Linked DNA regions of Drosophila melanogaster. The protein of the gene in region 3 purifies or fractionates together with the protein of the main gene of each other region. This does not show direct contact. Each region holds a gene or a part of one and is shown on either strand. Other genes may lie near its edges.

Region 1 (8,190 bases), on a different chromosome or scaffold from region 3:
CGATTTCGGCATTTGGCGTATGTCTAAAAAAAACTGTTTCTGAGTTGGCGCGCTCGCTAGATGTGGGTAGATACCGGGATATATCATTAGGTGTGGTTAGGAAGTTCGGATGGTGGGTAGGTTGGTTTACGGGTAGGATTAGGTTCTGCTCGCATGTAGTGGGTGCGTGTAATGATGCTGGGTGATCGTTAGGTGCGGTGTCCTCTGGTAGTGATGGTATGTTGTAAGCAATGGCCCTAGCAAGTGTGACCTTATCGCTAAACAGGCCCATCCAAATCTTTCGGCCGCAAACTACGGTGTATATTCTACGCCGCTGCGAGAGCAAACTTACCTAGTCCACGGGCCGCCACATCGGTGGCCACCAGAATGTTGGACTTGCCCGAGCGGAACTCACGGAGCACAAAGTCTCGTTCTGATTGCGACTTGTCACCGTGAATAGCTCCACAACGGACTCCGAAGCTGCGGATGAAGCGCACCAGGTTGTCCACGCGTCGCTTTGTCTCCACGAATATGATAATCTTGCCGGGGCTCTCGCTGGTGTCGTAGATGTCTGACAGGAGGGTCTTCAATCTGTATTGATAGGAGGAAATATTAAATTAAGAAATTTTATAAGAGGAACTTCTCTAAATTCTAGTATCAACTAGACAATTACAATTAGAATTAAGGTCCACTTACTTCTCCTCCTTGCTGAACTCGTCACAAACGTCCACCACCTGGCGGATGTTGTGATTGGCGGACAGCTCCAGCGATCCAATGTTGATCTGGATGTAGTTGCCCAAAAAGTCCTCGGCAAGCTGCTTGACCTCCTTGGGCCAGGTAGCGCTCCACATGAGCGTCTGTCGGTCGGGCCGGATCTGTGAGACGATCTTTCTGATCTGGGGCTCGAAGCCCATGTCTAACATGCGATCGGCCTCGTCCAGCACCAAGTAGGTGCAACGCTTCAGGTTAGTAGAGCCGGCGGAGAGGAAATCAATAAGACGTCCGGGTGTGGCAATGACGATCTCGCAGCCGCGCTGCAGATCCCGCATTTGGCCGCCCTTCGGGGCGCCGCCGAAGACGCAGGTGTTGCGAACATACGACGAGGAACCGAATTCGGTGGCCACCTGCTGGATCTGTTGGGCCAGCTCCCGAGTGGGGGCCAGCACGAGGGCGATAGGTCCGTCGCCCCTCTGCAGCGGCTGCTGGTTGTTGATGTGGACAATAGCGGGCAGGATGTAGCCCAGGGTCTTTCCGGATCCCGTCTTGGCAATGCCGACGAAGTTCGAGCCACTCATGGCGATAGGCCAGCCCTGCGCTTGGATAGCGGTGGGGGCCTTGTAGCCCTGTCGGCGGATCTCCTTCATGACGTAGTCGGGCAGATGGACCTCGGAGAAGTCCTGGATGGGGTTCGGCACCTGTCCGCGCACGGTGATCTCCTGCTCTTCGCGATACCTCTGAACTTCGTAGGGCGATCGGTTTGCTACGTTAGGGTGCTCCTGGTAAAAGTTCTTCTTGAAGGGAGCCAGGTTGGAGAAGTCGACCGGACGCATGGGGAGGTCTTGGCTGCCGCCGCCACCTCCTCCTCGGCGATCCCCGAATCCACCACCACCTCCAAATCGGTTGCCGCCTCCGCGGTCATCGCGTCGCTTCTCGACGCGTCCATTCCTTATGCCGTGGTAATCGCCACCGCCACCGCCGCCACCGAAGCGATTGCCTCCGCCGCCGCCTCCTCGCCGATCATCGCCGCCTCGATCGCCTCCGCGACCGCCACGTCCACTGTGACCAAAGTCGCGATCGTGTGGTGCCCTGGGAAATAATAAAGGAAGATCGATGAGTATCTAAGTATGCAAAATAGAAACGGAATGCTCAAGAAAAGAAATCTCACATCATCATCATCTTGCAGCTTATTTGAACTTAAGGTAGTAGTTTGCAGTTTCTTGTACTGGTTTGATCTTTGACCACCAATTTATCTTGATGCTGTTTTATTCGAGATAAAAAAAATTAAATTAGTGGCATTACAAGTGTTTTTCCCATTAACTTGATAAATTAAAAATTCACGCGTACCCTGTGTGCCTTTTTGTATTGTAATTTATTCTAGATAACTTTGGCAAAATTAATGGTTGCGATGGTAATTGGCTTTGGTAAAGGCAAATGAGATTAAAGTAATTTAATTCTAATATGCTTATCTTGCATTGCCGAAGTTTACTTAGTGTCAAGTATCAAGGGCCTTTTCCTTATTCATGGAAATTGAACGACTTCACGACTTGTTATTTCGCTGCCGTGAATTCAGTGGAATCTTTAAGAAAATATCCCACTTTGAGCTTTGTAACCGAATTTCGCTGAAGTTGATATAGTTTGATAGTTTTCTCACAAACTTTTTAATTTCGCGTTGTACATTTGTATAATCAATTCCTCCTTATCTGCCATCTAAAATAATTTTGCGCTGCACACACATTACCCAGAAACTGTGTGTCATAAATTTTCCCTTGATAAAAGGGACCTTCGAGAATTAAACCATGCTTAACTGGAATCATTTTTTCCGGCTCGGCGTAGACAGCTGCACTTTCTTTTCTTAAGTATTTCTTTGACAGAAAATTGAGGAAAAAAAGAAACGAGTGACTTGGCTTACTTTGCTCGCATGCTGCCGTTTCTAGACGTCTGCCAGTTGGGACTTGGATTTCAACTGCGACTTGGCTTGGAAGGTAAGTCTTCGCTTTTCGATTTCTTTCGACGCTGCTAAACAGCTGACATGGGAGTTGTGCTGTGCTACAACCGCAATAAACTTAAATAAAAACTAATTGCGTGTTAGGGAAATTAAATAAATTTCGAATAATGCAAACAGTAAGGCAAATTTGATTGACAACAACATGCAATTCGAGCAGGGTTTCTATTCACAGCCCACCCTCCCACCAATTTTTCACCCCAGTTTATCAGCCCCTAAATGCTCAACTAAACTAAACAGCCCCATGTACAAAGCCCTGCGTTTATTGCTCTGGCATTAATCAACCTGGCGCAGTTCTAGTTCCAGTCAGAACTGGCGAAGGTACCGACCTATATATGTTAGCACTTTGCAATAATTAGGGAAAAATAATATTAACTCTGCGGAGTGTATATACAATGTGGTAATAAATATAGTGCAAGATTAAGTTGGATGGTAAAGTTGTATAAAACAAAATTTACAACATAAATTATGTTTATTGTGTTACGAACTAACTTCTATAAATTTCCACTTTATATTCGCTTTACTTCGTATGTAAGCTCCATTTTCGTGATCCTAGTGGGCATCACTATGGGGTGCACCATGCAAATCACCCACGATCCAGGCCCACGTTTTTTTTTGTCTATTACTCTGTCAATTTGGAACACCGTACCGCCCTAAACGTCTATTTGTAGGACCCACTGGCACGCTAACGTTTGTGCCCAACTAGCGAAGCGGAACGCTCTGAACATTTATGAGACAGCCAAATGTCTTGCCCCTAGTTTCAACGGTGGGCAAACACCCGAGGGGAGGAGGGGACAGTCCCTGGGGGCACCTTTGACTTTCTGTGTGTCTACCTGTCGCTTTTTGACATGCGAAAAGACGAATCGCGCGCTCGCCAAAGGGGGAGCTCATAATCAATTGGCGTCATTTGACATTTTAGACTAATGGGGCCGTTTATGTGATGGCGTAGTTCACGAACTGGGTTACTATTACCATTTAATATTTGGTTGTTACTTGAGTTTTTATCAATACTATAGTATAACTTTCTAATAAATAATTTTTATTGCATAACAAGCATGGTTCATGATAAGTAAACACAAAAAGAGCGTAGCAAAATAGATAAAATGATCGATAAAATGCATTTTTGATAATCTGTAAGTTAAATGTGTTTGCATGGAACCTTTACTTATAGTGTAGAGAAAATTTTAAGAGAATAACCCTACTTTTCCCTAAAATTGTCCTCAGTATACAGAATTATACTGAAATTATATATTTCAATGTACGCATTAGATAACCAAACGAAGCAAACCATTAACCCCATTCACTTCCCAAATTAAGCATAGTAAGTATAAATCTATGTCGGGATGGTTACATCAAATTATAAAATTGCCAATACCAAAAACATCGCGATATCTCTACAAAACCTCGTGTGAGCCATGGAAAGAATGTGATGGAAAGGCATGCTGGCGAGTGAGCAGGACGGCGCTAGTCAGTGACAGCCGCCGACTGTTATACGCTCGCACACACTGTTCGAACTGTTCTACGAGCACGAGAAAATGCCGCCGTCAACAGGCATTCACGCATACAAGCAAGTCCGTATGTGCCGCTGTGTGAGTGCGCGTGTTCATGTTCGGGGCATACAGACAAATTAAAACGCTATAAAATAGCAAACGAAGCAAGAACACGTTTCACAAATCAGGCAAATTCTTTTTATGACGTGCGCTGTCGTTCTTGTTGCTTTTGCTACTCCTTTGCGGATGTGCGGGGGCAAACACAAAGAAAAAAACAACAAATGGCTGAAAACCTCACCTCCGACTGACAAAATTTAGCAAACCATGTGTTTTTCTCTCTCTCCCCAAACTCTCTCTTTCGCTCACACTAATTACTCATCACCTCGCTTCGTAGGTGTACAGAAAAAAAAAAAAAAAAAGAGGAATGGCACGAAGGGTGATAAAATGGCGACAGTGAGTGGAAAAAACCAACGCATTTCATATGAAATCTTGCGGCGTACTCACATTACTCCTTCAATTTTGATTTCCTCAGTTCTTTCGTCGGGATCGTTGAAAAGCGATTTCCTCGTCCTCGTCCGCTGCTCTGCTTTCGGGATGGAATCTACGTAGTCGTCTGAATCTGGTTTCGAGCTGTCTCGAAACGCACGCTGCGACTGAGCTTGGAGACTACTATATGTGCTTGGGAACAGTATTGTCTCACGATTCCTGCGACTCCCGTGGAACTGTTGTCGTTGTTCGGTGCAGAGCGAAGAAGAAGAAGCGAAAGTGCCGCTGCTGCTGGCGGAGGAGAAAAGAAAATGGCGACGTTGCGTTATACATTTCTCGGAGCTCGCGCCACTTCTCGGGGAAATCAATAGCAAGTTGCCCCAGCCGCAGGCAGTCGGTCGGGGCGTGGCGCCGCCCACCCGGGGGGCTATGTATTGCACAAGCTTAAGCATTTTCCCGAAGACTTAGCTTCAATGCGGTTATGCTAATGACGGATTTATCCTACGCAGCGCGGCATCCGCGCGTGTCTTACCTAACCTCGTCCAAAATTAGAGTGACCCTAGATGGAGGGGAAAAATCGGTCGAGAAGTTGGTGTGACCGCAGCGGGCTCGCATGAAAACGTCTATTAGAGTGACCACCTGGTTGCTATCGATAATCAGCTGAACGCGGTGTATTTACTTGCCCGCTAAGTTTTTAATATTTAAGATTCTGCTGAAACGAACTTTAAATATATCTCGTCGTCGGTCCGTACTCCTAATATTCGGAAATGTCTTAAATTTCCTAGCTATCGATAATCAGCTGAACGCGGTGTATTTACTTGCCCGCTAAGTTTTTAATATTTAAGATTCTGCTGAAACGAACTTTAAATGTATCTCGTCGTCGGTCCGTACTCCTAATATTCGGAAATGTCTTAAATTTCCTAGCCTACCAAAACGTAGTCTGTGCGGAGATTAGTAAATATACCTTAACAAATATAAGCATAAAACAACTTTCTGTGTTGAGCATTTAGCAAAGACTCACCCCATTTGTGGTTTATTTAACATTTTCAATTAATACAAATTTTTTGAAATCTACCAAAAGCGCAAATCTCGCATCATTTTTACTAATATTTTAAAGAATTAAAATAAGGTTGGCTCAATATTCTGAAAGGAAAAATATATCCTATTATTTATAAGAAAATATAATATTGTACAACACACAGAATTTTCATCATTAATTTCAAAATTTCATAGAACTTGCTTGTTGACCATTTCAAGTCTATAAAAAGTAATACTTATTAAAGAAATCTTATAATTTACACATAATTTTATTGCTTACATCTAAAAAATGAGTCTGAAAGAAATCGAAAATTTCACTCGAGTTTTAGCGAATTAAATTGAAAGAATCATAGTTATGATTGGAAATAGCTAAATATAGATATTATGCTGGAAAATAAAATGGCATCTATGGAGGATTAAGTAGCCACATATATTAACACCAGTAAAGAATGCACTTATTTTTCAAAATGCCAAAAATTGAAATTTACGGCACTTTAATGAAAATGAGTATCTGTAAGCTCTTACAAATTTACCAACTACCTCACTGTACTTTATTTAAATATCTTACCACGAACTATCGTATATCGTAATTGTACTGTAAAGGCCATGGTCAATCGGTTTTAAAATTCGGAGAGAACCCTCTCCAAAAGGTGGAGTTGCTGTGTGACATTTTTAACAAATCAATTGATAAAGACAAAAATAGCAGATAACACGTAGCCACCCAAACATCCAGTTCATATGTCCTTCTTCAGTACTAAAATTCCCTGCCGCACTTTTCCTTGGGAGTGTTCAAAAATACAAGAATAAATGTTACAGCCTTCTTCTAGCAAAGTTTCGAACACTGAATTTGCATTTGATTGTAGAACGTGTCAAGTGGATTTTGCTCAATTTCTTAAAGTGAAATATGAAAAACCGGTAAGTAATACGTTTCTTATTAATAATTTTATAAATAAATATATCTAATTGCATTACGAACTATTTTAGTGAAGTTAACAATAAAAACAGATTATATTCAATTTCGTTTTTATACGAAGCATGTTGCAAAGATGACTAAAGATCCCGGGTGTTCTCAGGTATGTTATAATTTTATCCTCCTTTGGGGTATGGAAATATATAAGTGTGATCACCAAGTGACCGCATTAGCAAGCAGTAAAGGCACTGCTTTATCTAGCAGTGTTATACAGGTGCATATGAGATGGCAATACTTTAAACCACGTCTATCTCTGCTAAGTTAAGCAAAATATTTCTATGACACTTGCGCATGTGGCAAGATCAAACCTTTTAGTGATCAAGAAAATTCGTATGCATGCCCACACATTTCTATCTATCTCTTAAATTTTCATAATTGAACCTAGTATACCCGGACCTGCAAGTAATGGATATGTTTAGTTAGTTTGGTGGGTGGGTCAGCCAAGAATGAATATGTATAAGGGTCTACGCATTATTTTATTAAAGTTTATTAAATATCAAATCAATGTGATTCATAACAAATATCCCAGTCTAGGTCCACGTCCACTTACAACCCGAGAAGGTGGCAGAAACTGCGGTACATCTTGGCCCTGCGGCCCTGCAAGCAGCCGTACAGCTCGTTGATCTTGAGGCAGTCGATCTTGCTGATGGTCTTTCGCTGCCCGATCCTAACTCCAGGTTGTAGAGGGGTCATGGTGGGCTTCTCACCCTTCCGCTTGCTGAAGTAAAACTCGCCGTAGTGCATCACGGAGTTGTAGTCGTAGTCGAAGGCGTACTTCCCCTTCTTCTTCGACACCAGCTTGAAGTTTTTCCTAAACCGCGGCACAATGTTGTCCCAGTGGATCTTGACAAAGTTGTCCCGATCTGCTCGTGACTGTTCGTGGTATATGCCGATGGCGTGCATCAGCTCGTGCATTATTCTGCCCTCGCTGCTGAAGCAGTGGGCACTATTCTCGTCGGGTCTCTGGAGGGACACCACCTGCTCACCTCCTCTTCGGCCCACGTAGGACCAACATCCTTGCGGTCCTTCCAAAGGCGGCTCGATCAACAGGTAGTCATCTACCTCCCCATCGTACGGCACAAAGTGCACACACGTTAGGGAGTTGAAGGTTTTTACGGCTTGAATAATGGCCTGTCTTTCCTGATTTGCGTACCGCGGACTTATCTCGAAGGGAATCGTTCCATTGGGCCACAGTCGTTTTGGATGCCTCATTGGATTGACGCCCAGGCGCAGGGTGATGTAGGTGTACGGATCAATGGCGATGTCGCCTTGGAACAAGCGGGGCATGGTCTCCGGATCGTCGATTCCCAGGTCATCGTCACCGATGTCGGGTCCGTAGGGATCGTATTCATCTGAAAGGGGTTTCAAAACTAATTTAGAATATATAATATGCCATATGGTATTTTCTTGAAATTTTAAGGCCCACGTATCGATGTGATGTTATATTTTGGTTATTGCATTGTCCTTTTAACACTCACATTGCGAATTCACTGAACAGAATGAGA
Region 2 (8,101 bases), on a different chromosome or scaffold from region 3:
CAACTGTACATTTGTTATTGCTTGTCGCTGTGCATGCCGCTGTCTCTGTCTATCTCTTTAGCTGGGTTTCATTGCCTGGTTTATTGTTGTTCTTGCTGTTTTATTGATGAGCTGCAGTTGTTTAGCCAGCAGCAACATCTCTCTTTTTTTTAATCTTGCTTATGTGTCTCTGTTTTGAAGCTTGGCACGTACGCCTCTTTTATTTATTTATGTGTGAGGGTTTTCAGGCTGGCTATCTCCCCTTCATTTTCCCGTCTCACTCTGTTGCATCTTCACGTCAATTGGCTTTGGGGCAGAAACAGAGTAGAATTTATTTTTCAGTTTTTAGGGAGCCATAAATTTTGAGCATTCGCTCTTGGACAAATTTGTTTTTCGTCTTAGCCAGAGTTGCCAGACTCGCAGAGGAGCTCCACTGCAGCCACATTAATCAAAATTATTCAGCTTAATCCTAACCATTTTCAAATCAATTAATCACAAGTGATGTGACGTCAGTGGGAATTTTGATAAGCACACGCTTGAGTAAACAATTTTCAGTTCCCAAATCAAAAGTCATTAGGACTGGTTGGCCCCATCAAATGCATTTGCATTGACGGACACGCCTCAATAAAGGTTAGAAAGTTAGTCTTTTCGTATACTTGAAGTGCATTTCTTATCGTTTTTCTTATTTGTTTTATTTGTTATGGTTTCGGGGGCTCACAATTTCGAATTTCCGTCTCATTTCCATTCCAAAACATTTTTTGTTGTTTAGTTTCCTCAACAATTGTTTACAGTTTTAACTATGCACTTCCTCCCGTGAGAATGAAACGCACACAAAGAAAAAAAGAGGCAGTCAATTTTATTTTGGTTGACCCGTTGACTACGAAAACATTCAGAATTTTCCAATCCGTAAAGATTTCGTACTTTACTTTATGTTGTTTAGGTTATATCATATTTCGTTTTTTTTTCTGTGTAGATACTTTTATGTGTCACTTTTTTTTAGCGGAAGCAATCGTTTTTGTATTATTTTTGTTGTCTTTTTACACTGAGTCTGCTTCACCTTTTCAGTATTCGTAGTGCAAATGGAATTCAATACAAATAATGCCTCAACGATTTTCGAAAATTCTCTAAATGCAACTTGCGGTGTGCAAAAAACCTCAATTGAAACCCTCAACCAACGAGTCACGTCTAATTTGCGAATTGAAAACGGACAACAGAGCAAGAGGAACAAGTGAAAAGCTTGATAAGGGGTGATAAAGGGGGAGGCAGCATAAGCAATGAATAAATAAAGCCCACTGCCCATGTATTTCTATGAGTAAATTCGAATTAGCAACAAAAGCCAGCAAACAAAAAGAGCAAATTTTTATTTTATTTTTTTACCTTTTTTATAAGCAATGTGTGCGAAATGACGTCATGTATCGCAAAATATGTAGCTAAGGCAAATGGAATGCTCGAATTTGATATGATGAGTATATAGAACAGGAAGTAAGGTAATAGAAATCGAAGAATGTTGTAAATAGGTAGGTAGTTAGTTGGTGGCAAAGGAGAAATTCCTTATAACTTAAATTGGGAATGTTGTTGGCTTGTTGTAATGTGGATATGTAGGTACTTGTATAGAAACAGCAATCTAACAAGAAAACGTAACCAGCGCGAAGGTTCTGATAAGATTGCGGGAGAGCACACACACAATCGAACTCCTATGACTTGCATAAGAACATCTATAGAAGGCTATATATAAAACAAAGTTTTATAGGAAACATTGCTAATTTAAATTATATTAAATTCTATAAGCGTAATGTTTCATTTAAGCATAGCGCATTGAATTGGGTTAAAGAATAATTAAAGTAAAAGGTTATCAATTCCTATTCGTTCAAGATTACAATAAATTACAGAAATATCAAGATGGGCTCTGAATGACAACAAAAAATTTAAAAATCGAACTGACTGAGTATCAAGAACTACCTCCGATACCTATAAAGTCTATTTTGTAGGCATTGGGTTGCACTGACAAATGGCATAAACAAGTTTTCAATATTTACAAATCTGTTTATCACTTGTTGCTGCTTTTCACTATTTACTTTGCTGAAAGGCGAGAGACCAAGGAGGAAAAGTGGGTCATGAAACTTGCCCACAGATGCGCGCCAGCAGGCGGATTTATTGCCCAAGTGCATTAGGCACACGGCTAGAGATTTGCAAGTGGCATTCGCAACAAATTGCCAAATAAAAGATGAATAAAATCAGCGACGAGAATTGGAAAATGGGTTTTTTTTTTAATCTGACAAGCGCATAGAAAGCCGGAGGTAGAAAGAAGCATGAATCATATGGAAAGGAAAAGCACACGCACACACAATCACACCCACCCGAAAAAAGAGAAAGAGAGAAGAAAAGTGGCTAGAACTAGAAGCTCAAACAGTGGCGTCTGAATGGGGGTCAATGTGGTGCTACACCTTAAACATTTGCTCATATTTCCGGATAAATTTAAATATAATATGTTCTTGATCTTAAATGACATTTATGACCCCTGAATAATAATCTGTAGTTTCGCCACTGTCTATGAAGCATAACAACAAAATAGACACACTACTCACTCACACACGCCGTGTTGCGTGAGCTTGACCAAACCCAAAAAACAAAAACAACACTTATTAGAGAAGCACAAAAGATGGCGTCACCGGCCGAATTGCCGCTCATCGTCATAACGGTTAAAACGAATGCAGGGCACGAGGGGACATTCACTATTTAACGGGATTATAACACATCATCCGGTAGATGCAAGAATACTCACCGGTACTTTTAGTATTCTTTTAAATTCGTTGATCCTCCAGTGGCCGCTAACACAGGCACAGGTCACAAATACAACGGTCACACTCACTGTATGTGTTAGAGGAGAAACGCACGCGTTTTTTATAAATGTATTCTCGCTCTCGCACCTCGGTTTTTGGTTTTCAGCCGCTAATTCGTACAAACACACATACGCCACAGAGGGAGACTATCAATAAAAGGGGAGGGAGAGGGTAGAAAATTTTAATAGATTTAACTTTTTATTGCCTTGAATGCAATATGTTTAAAATAAATAATTTTGTTCTCTTTTGGGCTTCTTGCACTACACCAAATAACTGTTAATATTTTTTTTTTTGCAAAATTGCCGCTCCTAACAGCACTTAGCACTTTTAATTCTTTGAATTAAATTTTAGTTGCACCGCAGCGAATAAATATTTCAAGTTGAATTGCCTACGAGAACTTAATCCAAAATCGTACGGACACGTCCGACGGGCAGAGCACGAATGAAGCGCAAAAGAGAACTGCGCACGGACAGTGGCAAAGAAGCCGAGAGAGAGAGGGCGGGCAGTGTTAGGCAACGTCAAGTGGAGATGTTGAAAACAACTAAACTGAAGTAACTTCCAGACAAACTGGCTTCCAAACGGGGTTAACTAAATTCGGTAAACAATCGAAAAGCATTAGTTTGCCTTGCAAATCACTCAAATTGCGCAAAAGTGTTCAAGAGAATACGAGAAGAGAGCGAAGGAAAGTGGGAGAGAGAAAGAGAGTTCTTCATCCTGCAACGCCCAAATATACACGCTTGTGTGTGTGCGAGAGAGTGTATGGGGAGGAACGAATATTTGGAGCAAAGCGCAGGGGAAAATAGCGGTGCAAGTCCTTTTTGCCACCTTGACCACAAACAAAAAACGCCTTTTTTGGCGCTCTCTTCGCACTTTTAGGTATTCTTCGCACAAAAACTATGTCAATTAAGCCGCACACGTCGATTATGTCATATTATTTATACGAATACACTTTCACACACAAGCGCCGCGCCATATACACACATTCGTGTCCGTGCGTGTGTGTGTATGAACGGCGTCGCATTCTCGTCACCGGCAATGCCGTGAAAAAATCGATGGTCAATTTGCTGTACGGGTGTATTCGCCTCTATTTTCTCGTTTCATTTAATAAAGTCTATCACTAATTTTAGAAGCCCACTAATTGGTCAATGGGTTCGATAAAACCACTGCTTACAATTTGTAAATGCTGAACTTCACGAAATTTCGCCCGCGTGATGTGTTTCGTTTTCGATATTTCGTACTACGATTTTGTTAGGGATGGACAAACCTGACGCATGTCAATGGGTCGATATTTGTTTGAAATATCGATGCTCTTATCGAAATATTTTTCAGTAAAATCGGGCGATTATCGATATATTTACATTGAAATAGGGCTGGCAAATCACAAATTTCGGCAAAATACTTCGATAAAAATAAATACCAAAACATTCGATAGCAGTCAGGTGTTGAGCTACAGATATAAATATTTGTAGTGAGTAAATATCTCCGTGCGGTGAAGGTGCGTGGTTCCGTTACTTTATTGTTGTGCTGTGATTTTGGGGAGTGAAAGTGCGTGATTCGATTCGGAAATCGTTCTCTCGACCAATCAAGGTCCGTTGGAAAATGGGCAAATATATATAGTATTAGAAATATCAAGTGCCTATGACGAATATACTATTCTTTACGAAAATATGGTGGTCACGGGAATGAGCCAGGCCAGAAGAATGCATTAATTACCAAACCTGTTTGGGTTTCGCCGTAGAATTACCAATGTTCGCAAATACAATAACAGATGGGTCAGCCAATCTAGCATATTTCGCCCCAATTAAAGGCCAATTTACTATTGTCACAGAAATATATACCCTATATGTGTCGTACATATGTAGTAGTTCCATGGGTCAATGTCAATATCCCGGCTTAATATGGATAAAAAACGAAGCTTAATCTCCCGAATGGCGCACACCCTTTGAGTCACTAGAGAATCTCATGCTTCCGAATGATGTCACACAATATAGCATATATATATAGCGGCTACATATGTATAAATACAGCATTGTATATGTAGAAACATTTGAATTATATTTGGGTGCGAACCGAGACATTCTTGTCTCCAAAGTATAATTTCAGTTTGCGTGAATTAAAGTAATTTCATTTAGCCCGACTTCCAGTCACACTGGGAATACTAACGATTCTGTAATGCTCGTTAAACCATATTTATGTCTCTGGGTGTGCTTTTAATTCCACCGCGAGGCTTATAAGTAAATATGGGCGATATAAAAAATATTGGATGTTGCTAACTAGTCATCAAATGTTTGAACAATAAATATTTATTAATGGGTTTTTAATCTGAGGCGGCACCTTACACTGCTAACTGATATTAAACTATATATGTACATATATTTTCAGATATCTGCACGATGGACGACTTGAGGGGATTCTTGAGGCAAGCGGGACAGGAGTTCCTCAATGCAGCTGGTGAGGCTGCAATGGGAGCGGCCAAGGATGTGGTCGGATCGGTGATCAACGAGATCTTCATCAAGAAGGAGGCCGACACCAAGAGGGTTCTGCCCAGCATCAAGAATATGAGAGTTGTAAGTTGACCCACACGGTTATCAACAGTTATTTATAGGGCGCTATACTATACTAAACAAACATAGAAAACAATCCATTGAAATCTACATATGCATGTTAACAAATACATATACATTCCACTCATTAGCAACCATTGCAATCTCAAAGTAATAGTACGTTGTACTATGGGAACGTAAGTACCTACTCCCGTCATCGTAATGGCATTGACATAATTCCATTCCAAGGATAATGCGCTGCCAAAGTGTCGTACTGTGTTGTCCTTGTGTTCTTTTTCTTTCGCATGTAAAGTGTAAAACGCATCATCGTTTATACAACTCCATTACACAACTTTATCGTGTACATACATAATACTCTTAATCAAGTTCATCAATTTTGTTAGATTCATATCACTAATAGCATGTATTTTTTAGCTGGGAGAGAAGAGCTCGAGCCTGGGACCCTATTCCGAGGTGCAGGACTATGAGACAATATTGAACAGCTGCCTGGCCAGTGGTTCCCTTTTCGAAGATCCACTTTTTCCGGCTTCGAACGAGTCTCTTCAGTTTTCCCGGCGTCCAGATCGTCACATCGAATGGCTGAGACCTCATGTAAGTTTTAGATACTACCATATTACCCGTAACTAAAGGTATAAATGCTTTAATTATAAAGGAAATTGCCGAGAATCCCCAGTTTTTTGTGGAGGGTTATTCGCGTTTTGATGTTCAGCAAGGCGAGCTTGGTGACTGGTAAGAACAAAATCTCTATTTCCGCAGCCAGAATAATTAATAGTTTTAAATAAATGCTTACATTTACAGTTGGCTCTTGGCTGCCACAGCCAATTTAACTCAGGAATCCAACCTTTTCTTTCGGGTAATTCCAGCGGAACAGAGTTTCGAGGAGAACTATGCTGGTATCTTCCATTTCCGCTTTTGGCAGTATGGTAAATTATTTATTAAAAAAATTATTCATGCGCTTCTTACAATTTTAGTTTAAAATTTTAAGGTAAATGGGTTGATGTAATCATTGATGACCGTTTGCCCACTTATAATGGAGAGCTGATGTACATGCACTCCACGGAGAAGAACGAGTTCTGGAGCGCCCTGCTGGAGAAGGCTTATGCCAAGTAGGACTACATTATTCACATACTTTATGGTCAACTGATGTATATATGCTTTCTAGACTTCATGGATCCTACGAGGCACTAAAGGGAGGCAGCACTTGCGAGGCCATGGAGGACTTTACTGGCGGCGTATCCGAGTGGTACGATTTAAAAGAAGCACCCGGCAATCTATTCACCATTCTGCAAAAAGCAGCTGAACGCAATTCCATGATGGGATGCTCGATTGAGCCTGATCCAAATGTCACGGAGGCAGAAACTCCTCAGGGCTTAATCCGTGGTCACGCTTACTCCATAACCAAGGTTTGTTCGGAAAATTGCTATGATAAGAACATTTTATTAATTAATCTTATGTCAACAGGTTTGCCTTATTGACATAGTAACGCCAAATCGTCAGGGAAAGATCCCTATGATAAGAATGCGAAATCCTTGGGGCAATGAAGCCGAGTGGAATGGACCATGGAGTGATAGCTCACCAGAATGGCGCTATATACCCGAGGAACAGAAGGCGGAGATTGGACTAACATTCGACAGAGACGGAGAGTTCTGGATGTCCTTCCAAGATTTTCTTAACCACTTCGATCGCGTGGAGGTAGGACTATTAATATTTCTTGGTGAAATATTTCATGATTCATTCGCCATGATTTTGTTCAGATTTGCAATTTGTCGCCGGACTCACTGACCGAGGACCAACAAAACAGTGGCAAGCGAAAGTGGGAGATGTCCATGTATGAGGGAGAATGGACACCCGGTGTTACAGCTGGTGGTTGCCGCAATTTCCTGGATACCTTCTGGCACAACCCCCAGTATATTATCACCCTAGTCGATCCTGATGAGGAAGACGAAGAGGGACAGTGCACCGTCATCGTGGCCTTAATGCAAAAGAATCGCAGATCGAAGCGCAATATGGGAATGGAGTGTCTGACCATTGGTTTCGCTATCTATAGCCTTAATGATCGCGAACTGGAAAACCGTCCCCAGGGTCTGAACTTTTTCAGATACAAGTCTTCTGTGGGAAGATCGCCGCACTTTATCAACACCCGCGAAGTACGTATACGGATATATCCAGGATATGGCTGCAATCACTTAACATATGCGTTTCTTATTTAGGTGTGTGCTCGCTTCAAATTGCCTCCTGGTCACTACCTGATTGTGCCTTCAACTTTCGATCCAAACGAGGAGGGAGAGTTCATCATTCGAGTGTTCTCAGAAACTCAAAATAACATGGAGTGCGTACAAGTAGACAATGACAATGAGTTTGTATATTAGAAATAATGAGGGGTTTCTATAACTAAAAGCTTCTTACGTGCAATATGTGGTATGTTGTGACTATAGTATTCTTTAATCTCTAGTGCTAGTAAATGTTTGACTAGATTTGTTTCTTTACCCTCTACACATTCCTGACAGATAAGTTGGTTATGCCATTTTTTAATCACTCCTCTTATATATATTTTTACCTGAGATTAACGCCTGCAGTATTCCAGAAACTCGAAATATATTTCTTCTAGATAAATTCAAATGTAATGTCGGTCTGTCTGTTACATGTTAAGAATAATTCTGATCAATATGAAGTTCAATTTTCTTAATTTATCAGTTATAAAAAGGGTGGCGGCAGCAA
Region 3 (8,068 bases):
ATTAATTTTTAACGTTTGCCCACCCTTGAAAATTCATTTCTAACGTTTGCCCACTCTTTAAAAATAAATTATTTCGATTGCCCACCTTTTAAAACTAAATTATTTCGTTTGCCCATCCTTTAAAATTAATTTTTAACGTTTGCCCACCCTTTAAAAATAAATTATTTCGTTTGCCACCCTTTAAAATTGGTTTTTTTCGTTTGCCCACTCTTAAAACTAAATAATTTCGATTGCCCACCTTTTAAAACTAAATTATTTCGCTTGCCCATCCTTTAAAATTCATTTCTAACGTTTGCCCACTCTTTAAAAATAAATTATTTCGATTGCCCACCTTTTAAAACTAAATTATTTCGTTTGCCCATCCTTTAAAATTAATTTTTAACGTTTGCTCATCCTTTACAAATAAATTATTTCGTTTGCCCATCCTTTAAAATTCATTTTTAACGTTTGCCCACCCTTTAAAAATAAATTATTTCGTTTGCCCACCCTTTAAAATTGGTTTTTTTCGTTTGCCCACTCTTTAAACTAAATAATTTCGATTGCCCACCTTTTTAAACTAAATTATTTCGTTTGCCCATCCTATAAAATTCATTTTTAATGCAAACGAAAGAAACAAATTTTAAAGGGTGGGCAAACGAAATAATTTATTTTTAAAGGGTGGGCAAGCGTTAAAAATGAATTTTAAAGGATGGGCAAACGAAATAATTTAGTTTTAAAAGGTGGGCAATCGAAATTATTTATTTTTAAATGGTGGGCAAACGTTAGAAATTAATTTTCAAGGGTGGGCAAACGTTAAAAATTAATTTTAAAGGATAGGCAAACGAAATAATTTATTTTTAAAGGGTGGGCAAACGTTAAAAATGAATTTTAAAGGATGGGCAAACGAAATTATTTAGTTTTAAAAGGTGGGCAATCGAAATTATTTATTTTTAAATGGTGGGCAAACGTTTTTTATTGGAAATTTTTATTTTAAAGAGGTGGGCTAACGAAATTGGTTGTATTTTAAGTGTGGGCAATCGAAAAAAAATGTTTGTTAAAGGTTTTTTAAAGGGTGGGCAAACGATAAAAACTAATAATAATGGTTGGGCAAACGTTTTTTGTTGATTATATTTGGTTTTAAGAGATGGGCAAACGATTTACTCTCTGATTAGACCGAGGTAAACTTTAAAGCCTTATATTTTCTAAAGTATACATTTTTTCAAAATTCTAAAGGGTGGGCAAACGATGTTGTTGCAATTAAAAAAAAAAATTGAAAAAAGCGAAATGTTTGATTTTCGAACATTTTCGAACTTTTTCGAAAATTCTTATCTCAAAAACTGGACGTGGGCAAAAAAAACTAATTGGGCAAAAAATGGGCAAACGATTCCAGCTTTCAAATTTCAAAAATTATATTTTTTCCGAACCCAGCTTCTTTGAGCTGTAAAGTTTTCGTATTTAAAATAATATTGATAAAAATAAACATTTTACAATGGGACTGTATATACCTAGAGAAGCGTAGTAATCGCTAAATGAGGATAAATGGTCACGAAATTCGGCTGCAGTTGAAAGAGCCAAGTAAATTTGACTTCGTCTACCATCAGCGCCAATCTGAAATTTTTAAAGCTGTTATACATAACGTTCCATGGTTGTGAATTTTATCAAAAGGTGCTGTTATACAAATCAAACAAAAGCTTTTCTTTATAAAATAGAAGTGATAACAAAATTCTAATCAGATGATTTACCTCAGCAACCTTTATAAAACGGCCTCTTCTATTTTGTTTTACATCCAAATAAAATCGTTTAGATTGTATTTGCAACATTTTCGTAGCCAATTCCTGTTCGACGCCGCTTCCTCCTGACGCGAAAGAATGTGACGTGTTCAGATAGTATAAATTATACATGTGGCATTTTTACCTTTAGCAGAAGAATCGAAGTCGTTCCTACTTGAGGAACCCTCCATATTTGCAACATTATATTCTAAAATATGGAAGTTGTTATATATTTATTAATATGCGGCTCACTTACTTGATCCTGAGATGCCATCATCTCCACTTCCCAAATCGGACATTACGAGACCACCTATTTATAAAATCTCGAAGCTTGGTAGATAGTTACGCTTCCTTCCTTTTCAGCGACACACTTTTAATGTTACACTACTCTTGTGCCTCAACACGACAGCATATAGTTAATAGTATAACCATTCTTTTTGTCCGGTGTACAACATTCCCCTGCTTTAAATATAATATAGATAATTATGATTAATATCGTAGAGTAGCAGCACAGCAGCTGTGTTTGTTTTTTTTTCTGTAAATTCGTTTTTGTTTACTAACTTCCTTTAATACCTAAATCATATGAGTAAATTTCGTAGGATCTAATTTTGGCTACATAGAATAAAAATATACCGACCTAACAATCTTACCTATAGTACCTACCATATTGTATGTTAATATACATACATATATCCTGCCAAAACATATCACAGTGGACGAAAGTCCTCGTAGTGACGTTGCGCAGCAAGATAGTGTCCAAAGGCGACAACTATATATGTATGTACATGATGAAATGCATATGCAGATGCAAAAACTTAAGGGCTTGCATCCAAGACCATTACATGTGTATATCGTTCGGAAGAGAAGCGGTGAAAGTGAAAATACTATACTATTTTAAAATTGTAAGCCGCGTTCCCAAAACGATCACAGCATAATATATTTTTTTTAATATTCTACGTGCTTTCTCGGAACACTTGCATGAAAGGCCAGCGAAATATATTGATAAATGGTGTCGAGTATACTTCAGATATTATAGTTTCCTAGTTGAATATAAAATAATTTTTCGTTATAAAAGTACAAATCAGAATTTTTGTATATTCGTTTTTGTTCAATCGTCAGAAGTTAATACCTCGTTAGTTGTTTTTGTTTAATCATGCTGTGACGCCAAGATCTATCTAAAGAGTTACAAATATACATGTAAATATGTATGTATATATTCTTGTTCAGGATGGCATGAATTAATTTTTACTTTTTACATTAAAATTTATTAAAATTCATAAAGCTTGTAAAATGTTCAATGACCTTTAGCATTAAAATGTATATTGATGTAATTTTTCTTTACTTATTTTGAAAAGATTTTATTCACTTTTAGTTTGAAATTTCTTTTTACCAAACGGTATTAATTTAAACAATAAGAAGAATCCGTATAGACATATGTACATAAGTAAAGTCATAGGACGTAACGTACATATAAATGTAAATGCATATATAAATATATATATTATGTACATATTTATATATATATGTACACACATATATGCACATACATACACTTTGAACATGTCTACTTTTTTCCAAACTGCTTATAACGTTCTTGTACATACATAAATAAATAATTTTTCCAAGGCATTATATTTATCTGGCAATAAATTATGTGTAATTCCCTGTCAATTGAGTGAACTACCAGTCCAGGAATTCATAAATTTGTATAAACAAACTAATATCCCGTTAAGTACAGGAATTAGATGTTTACATTGCATGAGTACGTGTTTGACATGTATCAGCTGTTCACCATCGCATTCGTTGAATTGATTCGACTACCCAAGAAAACAGTTTCAAGGTTTTTGCATGTGTACATATGTATGTATGTATGTATGCCACTACGGGTAAAACCATTTTACACACACAATTTGAACTTAGCAAGCTGATTTTTGTATACATATTCATCTAATACGAGCGAATACGGGAACTCAAACTTGAATTCAACATTGTCATAAAACAGTTTATGTAATAAATTGGGAAAATGTGCACCAAATACGAAAGGTGGGAACTTTTTAAATGGAGCTTCCAAAAGTACACATATTAGCAATGCACACTTAAAAATATATGTAAGTGCTCATGAAAGGAGTGCTAGAGCCAACTGCAAATAAATGGAGGAGCTTTATACTGTTTCCTACTGCAACACTGGGTATTTTTACTCTAGCACTTAAGTTCTTAAACTTAAGTCCAGGAAGAAAAAAATTATAAAAAACGTACAACATCTACACACACACGCACTGCCCCTTACAAATGACATCGACACTCCCTTATTTTATTTGTTCGTCGGATAAAACTGAAAATTCGTAGGTTCAGAACGGAGGGGAATGGAGCCCAAAAGAGCTGAAATACCTTAACGCCTTTGTAGGAAGACTGATGCAAATCCGAGTTTTGGAGTGTTTTTGAGTCACAGCGAAAGCTTGAGCATGTTGTACAGTCAATGTTTATGTGTAGATTGAGTAAAATGGCCTAGTTTGATTTGATTTGACTAGCCATCCAAAAGGAACGCTCGATCTATGTACGTGTAGAATCCGGCAGAACGCGTTAGGGAATTTCTCGGAGCTCCGTTGCGAGCACGTAACGAAAGACAACGTAACCCATCCAACGCGTCGTCTGACCGAAAAAGCTCCGATAAACTGCAAATAAGTCAGCAAAGCTCCTTTTTCCTAGTCTTTCTATTTGCGGCGTTATTGGTGTTGGTTGCTGTTTGTGGTTCGTCGTGCATGAGCAGCAGAAAGTGGAAAATTATAATAAATCTCATCCAGAATTCTGTTTTGATTCCGATACATCGCGAATTTAAATTAACGACTAAACGTGCAACGGTGCTGTGAGGCAAATTAATAAATTCTGCGGCATACTACTGTTCTTCGGGTGTGTGTGTATTCATACACGACATGTGTGCACATACATATGTCTGCATGTACATTCGAAATTGAAATTATGCAAAATGTGCATCATACTGCGAACGCTAGTTAAGGAGCAGTGCTTCAATTGCTACTTCGATGGAAATGTAACTGTTACGTACTGTGTTCGCGATTTCCCCCGTACTTATCCTGTGCCTAAACCGTCGAGCGAAACGTGAGTATATGACCACCTATATACTCACACATTTTCTACATAAATACAAATACACGCAAACTTATTTTTGTTGGTCGTCTCTCAGTTCTCTCCTCGTTTATGGTCATTCTCCGTTCCTCTCGCTGCCATCTGCCACATCCACTTTGGAAAGCGAAAACAGAAACAGCATCTCTGTGAACCCACAGAAATACATATGTAAAGCAGATATGTACATAGATGTGTATATATGGATGTGAAAAAACGAGAAGAGTAGCGACTAGTCTTTTATCTTTTATTTTGGTATCGGGACTGTATTTCGTATCCGTAAATCCGAATCCAAATTGTCGGGACAGCACAGACTAGAGTATAAAGAATAGTATAAGTAAAAATAAATTGATACATACACTTATAGATGTATGTGCGCAAATGTACAATACACCCTGTCAATGCTTTTAATTCGTATTCGTATTTGTGTATATTTTGACTTATTTTAAAATATATCACAATGCCCTTGTAGTCGGAACTCCGCCTTATCGGGCTCAAAAATGACTAATCCCTTCCAAGCTTTAATCATGTGCGTACCTGTAGAATCCTAGATTCTTGAGGATAGTGCTGCTATATTGTTTTCTTTCCTTTCGTGAACAGGGAGTTTCTAAGAAAAAGTTATGTAAAATTAGTCCGAAAAATAAAAATTTTTGGTCTGCCTTGATAGCCCCAGCGATTTTCAAAACTGCTTCCACATGTTATTTTTGAACGCCAATATTCTGTTAACTGAAATATTAGGAGCTAAAAGACAAACACTCCGCAAATAAGAGTGCTTTACTCAATTTTACGTCGCAGAACGTAATATCTAAACGTGAAATTGAAGGTGTTGTCAGTCCGATTTTTTCCTCGCCAAGGGAAATTTCTGTTTAACTTGAGGGATTTAGACAGGGTAAAATCTGGATATACTCGTATATTTACATATGTATAGCCGCTTTCCCGCTGAAGTAGCGTAGTTTTTCATAATGGTTACAACTAATGTTTAAAATACCGACCTGTGTGACAGAAAACAAATAGGATTTAAAAAACGTGTCGTTGCAGACAAAACACGCGACAGAAATTTACAGTTTAAAGAACTAATCAAAATTTGTTAATAATTTTTGTGGCTGAAGTTAATCTTCACCGGTTTTTCTTCGAACCATTAATTTTTTTAAAATGACAAAACCTCAGAATCTTTCAATTCTTCGTGTGTATGTATGTGTGTAGTCGATTCGGCATTGTTCTGGTGGGCTTCGTCAGTACTTCCGTCCACAGTGGAATCAAGAAAGTTAAGTTGGATTGAAGAGTTGTCACTCCAACGCCACAGCTTTTTGAAATGTTTTGAATTTATTTAATTTATTATATGTTTTGCGACCTTTTTCCGTTTACACAGACGGACGACCAACGTGAGGATAACCTGGCATTGTCAGATTGACTCGTATATATATATATATATTTATTTATATATATACGATATATATATATATCCTTTGACCTGCTACATAAATTTCAACGAATCTAGTGTACCCTTTCACTCCACAAACAACTTAGCTAAATAGAAAAATTTAGATAATCATAAACAAGAGTAAGCTGTATAGTCGAATTTTTCGGCTTTTAGACTACCGGGTATCAGCTAGGGAAAGTGCGAAATTCACAAGACTAATAGAAAATATCAAAACATTTTTAAAAATTGTGGACGTGGCAGTTTTGGGTGGTTTGTAGACGTTAGAGAGTACGTGGCAACATCAGTAAACGAACTTTCGCTGCGTCTATGTTCCGGCACCTGTATTCCTAATCTCAGCCCTCTAGCTTTTATAGTTCCTCACATCTTCCGACATCTCGGACAACACCTTAGCGAATCGTCATTTTGCTAATTGTTGGCAAATTGTTGTGGTGGTCAAATTGTTGTTGGCAAAGTAAATACAAAAATTAAAAAATTTTTTTTTTTAATTTTCATACGACTTTGTGATGGTTTTTGATAATTGATAATTTTTAGAACTGCAGGGTTCGTGGTACCCCCCATATGTACATCTATAATAAATCCCCTCACTACAAACAAGGACTGACAATGATGCAACATTTTAGATTAGGTGATCATTCTAATCGCGGTCTAAGTCTACCTATAGTAATACACAGCCACAATTCGTAATTAACTTTTTGTTCGCAATTTTGACGACCTTATAAATTTAAGTTTTAAAAGTTAAACATTTTTGGTAGGCCGGCTTGTTTTACGTATGGTATACATTATCGACACGCGGGTTACCACATATGGCCTCTCTTAAAAAAATCTCTTGAACATATACGAACTCTCGGCTTGAGCTTTTTTGAGAGTGCGTACTCATTTGGCTGTTGTTTCTGATTTTACTAAACTTTCTGGTACAGTAGTTTAGACTCACACATATGTAAACTCAACAGCATACGGCCCTATATATACGTACGTGCATACAAATGGAAATGCACACACTCACAGCTTGCTACTGCCATTTTCGCTTCGTTGCATTTTGAGACTCAGCTAAATATTATGTGTATGCATATTTGTACCATTGTGTTCATTGTGTCTCAAAAGTTGATACACAGGCGATTAAAAAGAGTAAGCCAATATTGTTTTTGTATTTGGAAATATAAATTTTAATTTATTGCTATATATTTTATATATGCCATTCGCAAAAAGCTACACATGAACTCCATTTATAGTACTAATATTTCAACGAAATAATTTTAAAATGAGACTGAATATCTTACCTTTAAAAAGTCCTAAATATAATTACTTATATAGCCCTTTGGAAAGCTTATTATTTATATTTGGAAAATAAGAGAGAATACTATAGTCTAGTTACCAATTATCAGATACCCGTTACTCAGCTAGTCCAAATGCGAACGAGAAATTCAATAATTTATCTGGCTTATCGATAGTTATTGGGGAAATAAATGCGCAAACAATTAAAAAATGTTCATAAGTGTGGGGGTAACCGTTTTGGTCGTTTTGTAGGTGTAAGGAGGGCATGGCCAGTGTTTTTGTAACGGTAGAAATTCGCGGACAAAAAAATAAAACGAAGAAAATTCAAAACATTTTCCAAAAATGTGTAGGCGTCGTACAATACTCGTACAATTCTCGTTAATCCTGCAAATAGGGGGTATAATAATAATATATCTCACGATTTATGCTTTTAGGATATACAAAGGACGATTTTCTAATTGGTCAATTA

What was found.
Region 1: the proteins of Pur-alpha (region 3) and Rm62 purify together in Drosophila melanogaster (affinity purification with western blotting; one study listed by BioGRID). This does not show direct contact.
Region 2: the proteins of Pur-alpha (region 3) and hts purify together in Drosophila melanogaster (affinity purification with western blotting; one study listed by BioGRID). This does not show direct contact.

Annotation. Positions count from the first base shown.
Region 1 is NT_033777.3:6,003,342-6,011,531, forward strand, and holds the start of Rm62 (Rm62), read right to left. Parts: upstream 5,233-8,190; 5' UTR 5,130-5,232; coding exon 4,696-5,129; intron 4,388-4,695; exon of another isoform or gene 4,105-4,387; intron 2,774-4,104; exon of another isoform or gene 2,620-2,773; coding exon of another isoform or gene 2,609-2,619; intron 1,957-2,608; exon of another isoform or gene 1,876-1,956; coding exon of another isoform or gene 1,865-1,875; intron 1,786-1,864; coding exon 676-1,785; intron 571-675; coding exon 332-570; coding exon of another isoform or gene 306-331; exon of another isoform or gene 1-305. Other genes in the region: CG10280 (uncharacterized protein), read right to left, coding at 7,232-8,055. UniProt on the Drosophila melanogaster protein: As an RNA helicase, unwinds RNA and alters RNA structures through ATP binding and hydrolysis. Involved in multiple cellular processes, including pre-mRNA splicing, alternative splicing, rRNA processing and miRNA processing, as well as transcription regulation.
Region 2 is NT_033778.4:19,420,833-19,428,933, forward strand, and holds the start of hts (hu li tai shao), read right to left. Parts: upstream 4,072-8,101; 5' UTR 3,991-4,071; intron 3,283-3,990; exon of another isoform or gene 2,966-3,282; 5' UTR 2,762-2,965; intron 1-2,761. Other genes in the region: CalpA (Calpain-A), read left to right, coding at 5,213-5,386, 5,515-5,559, 5,798-5,974, 6,036-6,112, 6,182-6,306, 6,369-6,489, 6,546-6,786, 6,845-7,075 and 2 more. UniProt on the Drosophila melanogaster protein: Required for assembling actin at ring canals in developing egg chambers. Probably interacts with other developmental proteins involved in nurse cell/oocyte transport through the ring canals. Important for normal neuromotor function.
Region 3 is NC_004353.4:554,237-562,304, reverse strand, and holds the start of Pur-alpha (Purine-rich binding protein-alpha), read right to left. Parts: upstream 4,290-8,068; 5' UTR 4,137-4,289; intron 4,083-4,136; exon of another isoform or gene 4,005-4,082; intron 2,642-4,004; exon of another isoform or gene 2,412-2,641; intron 2,211-2,411; 5' UTR 2,048-2,210; coding exon 2,005-2,047; intron 1,957-2,004; coding exon 1,894-1,956; intron 1,835-1,893; coding exon 1,722-1,834; intron 1,588-1,721; coding exon 1,485-1,587; intron 1-1,484.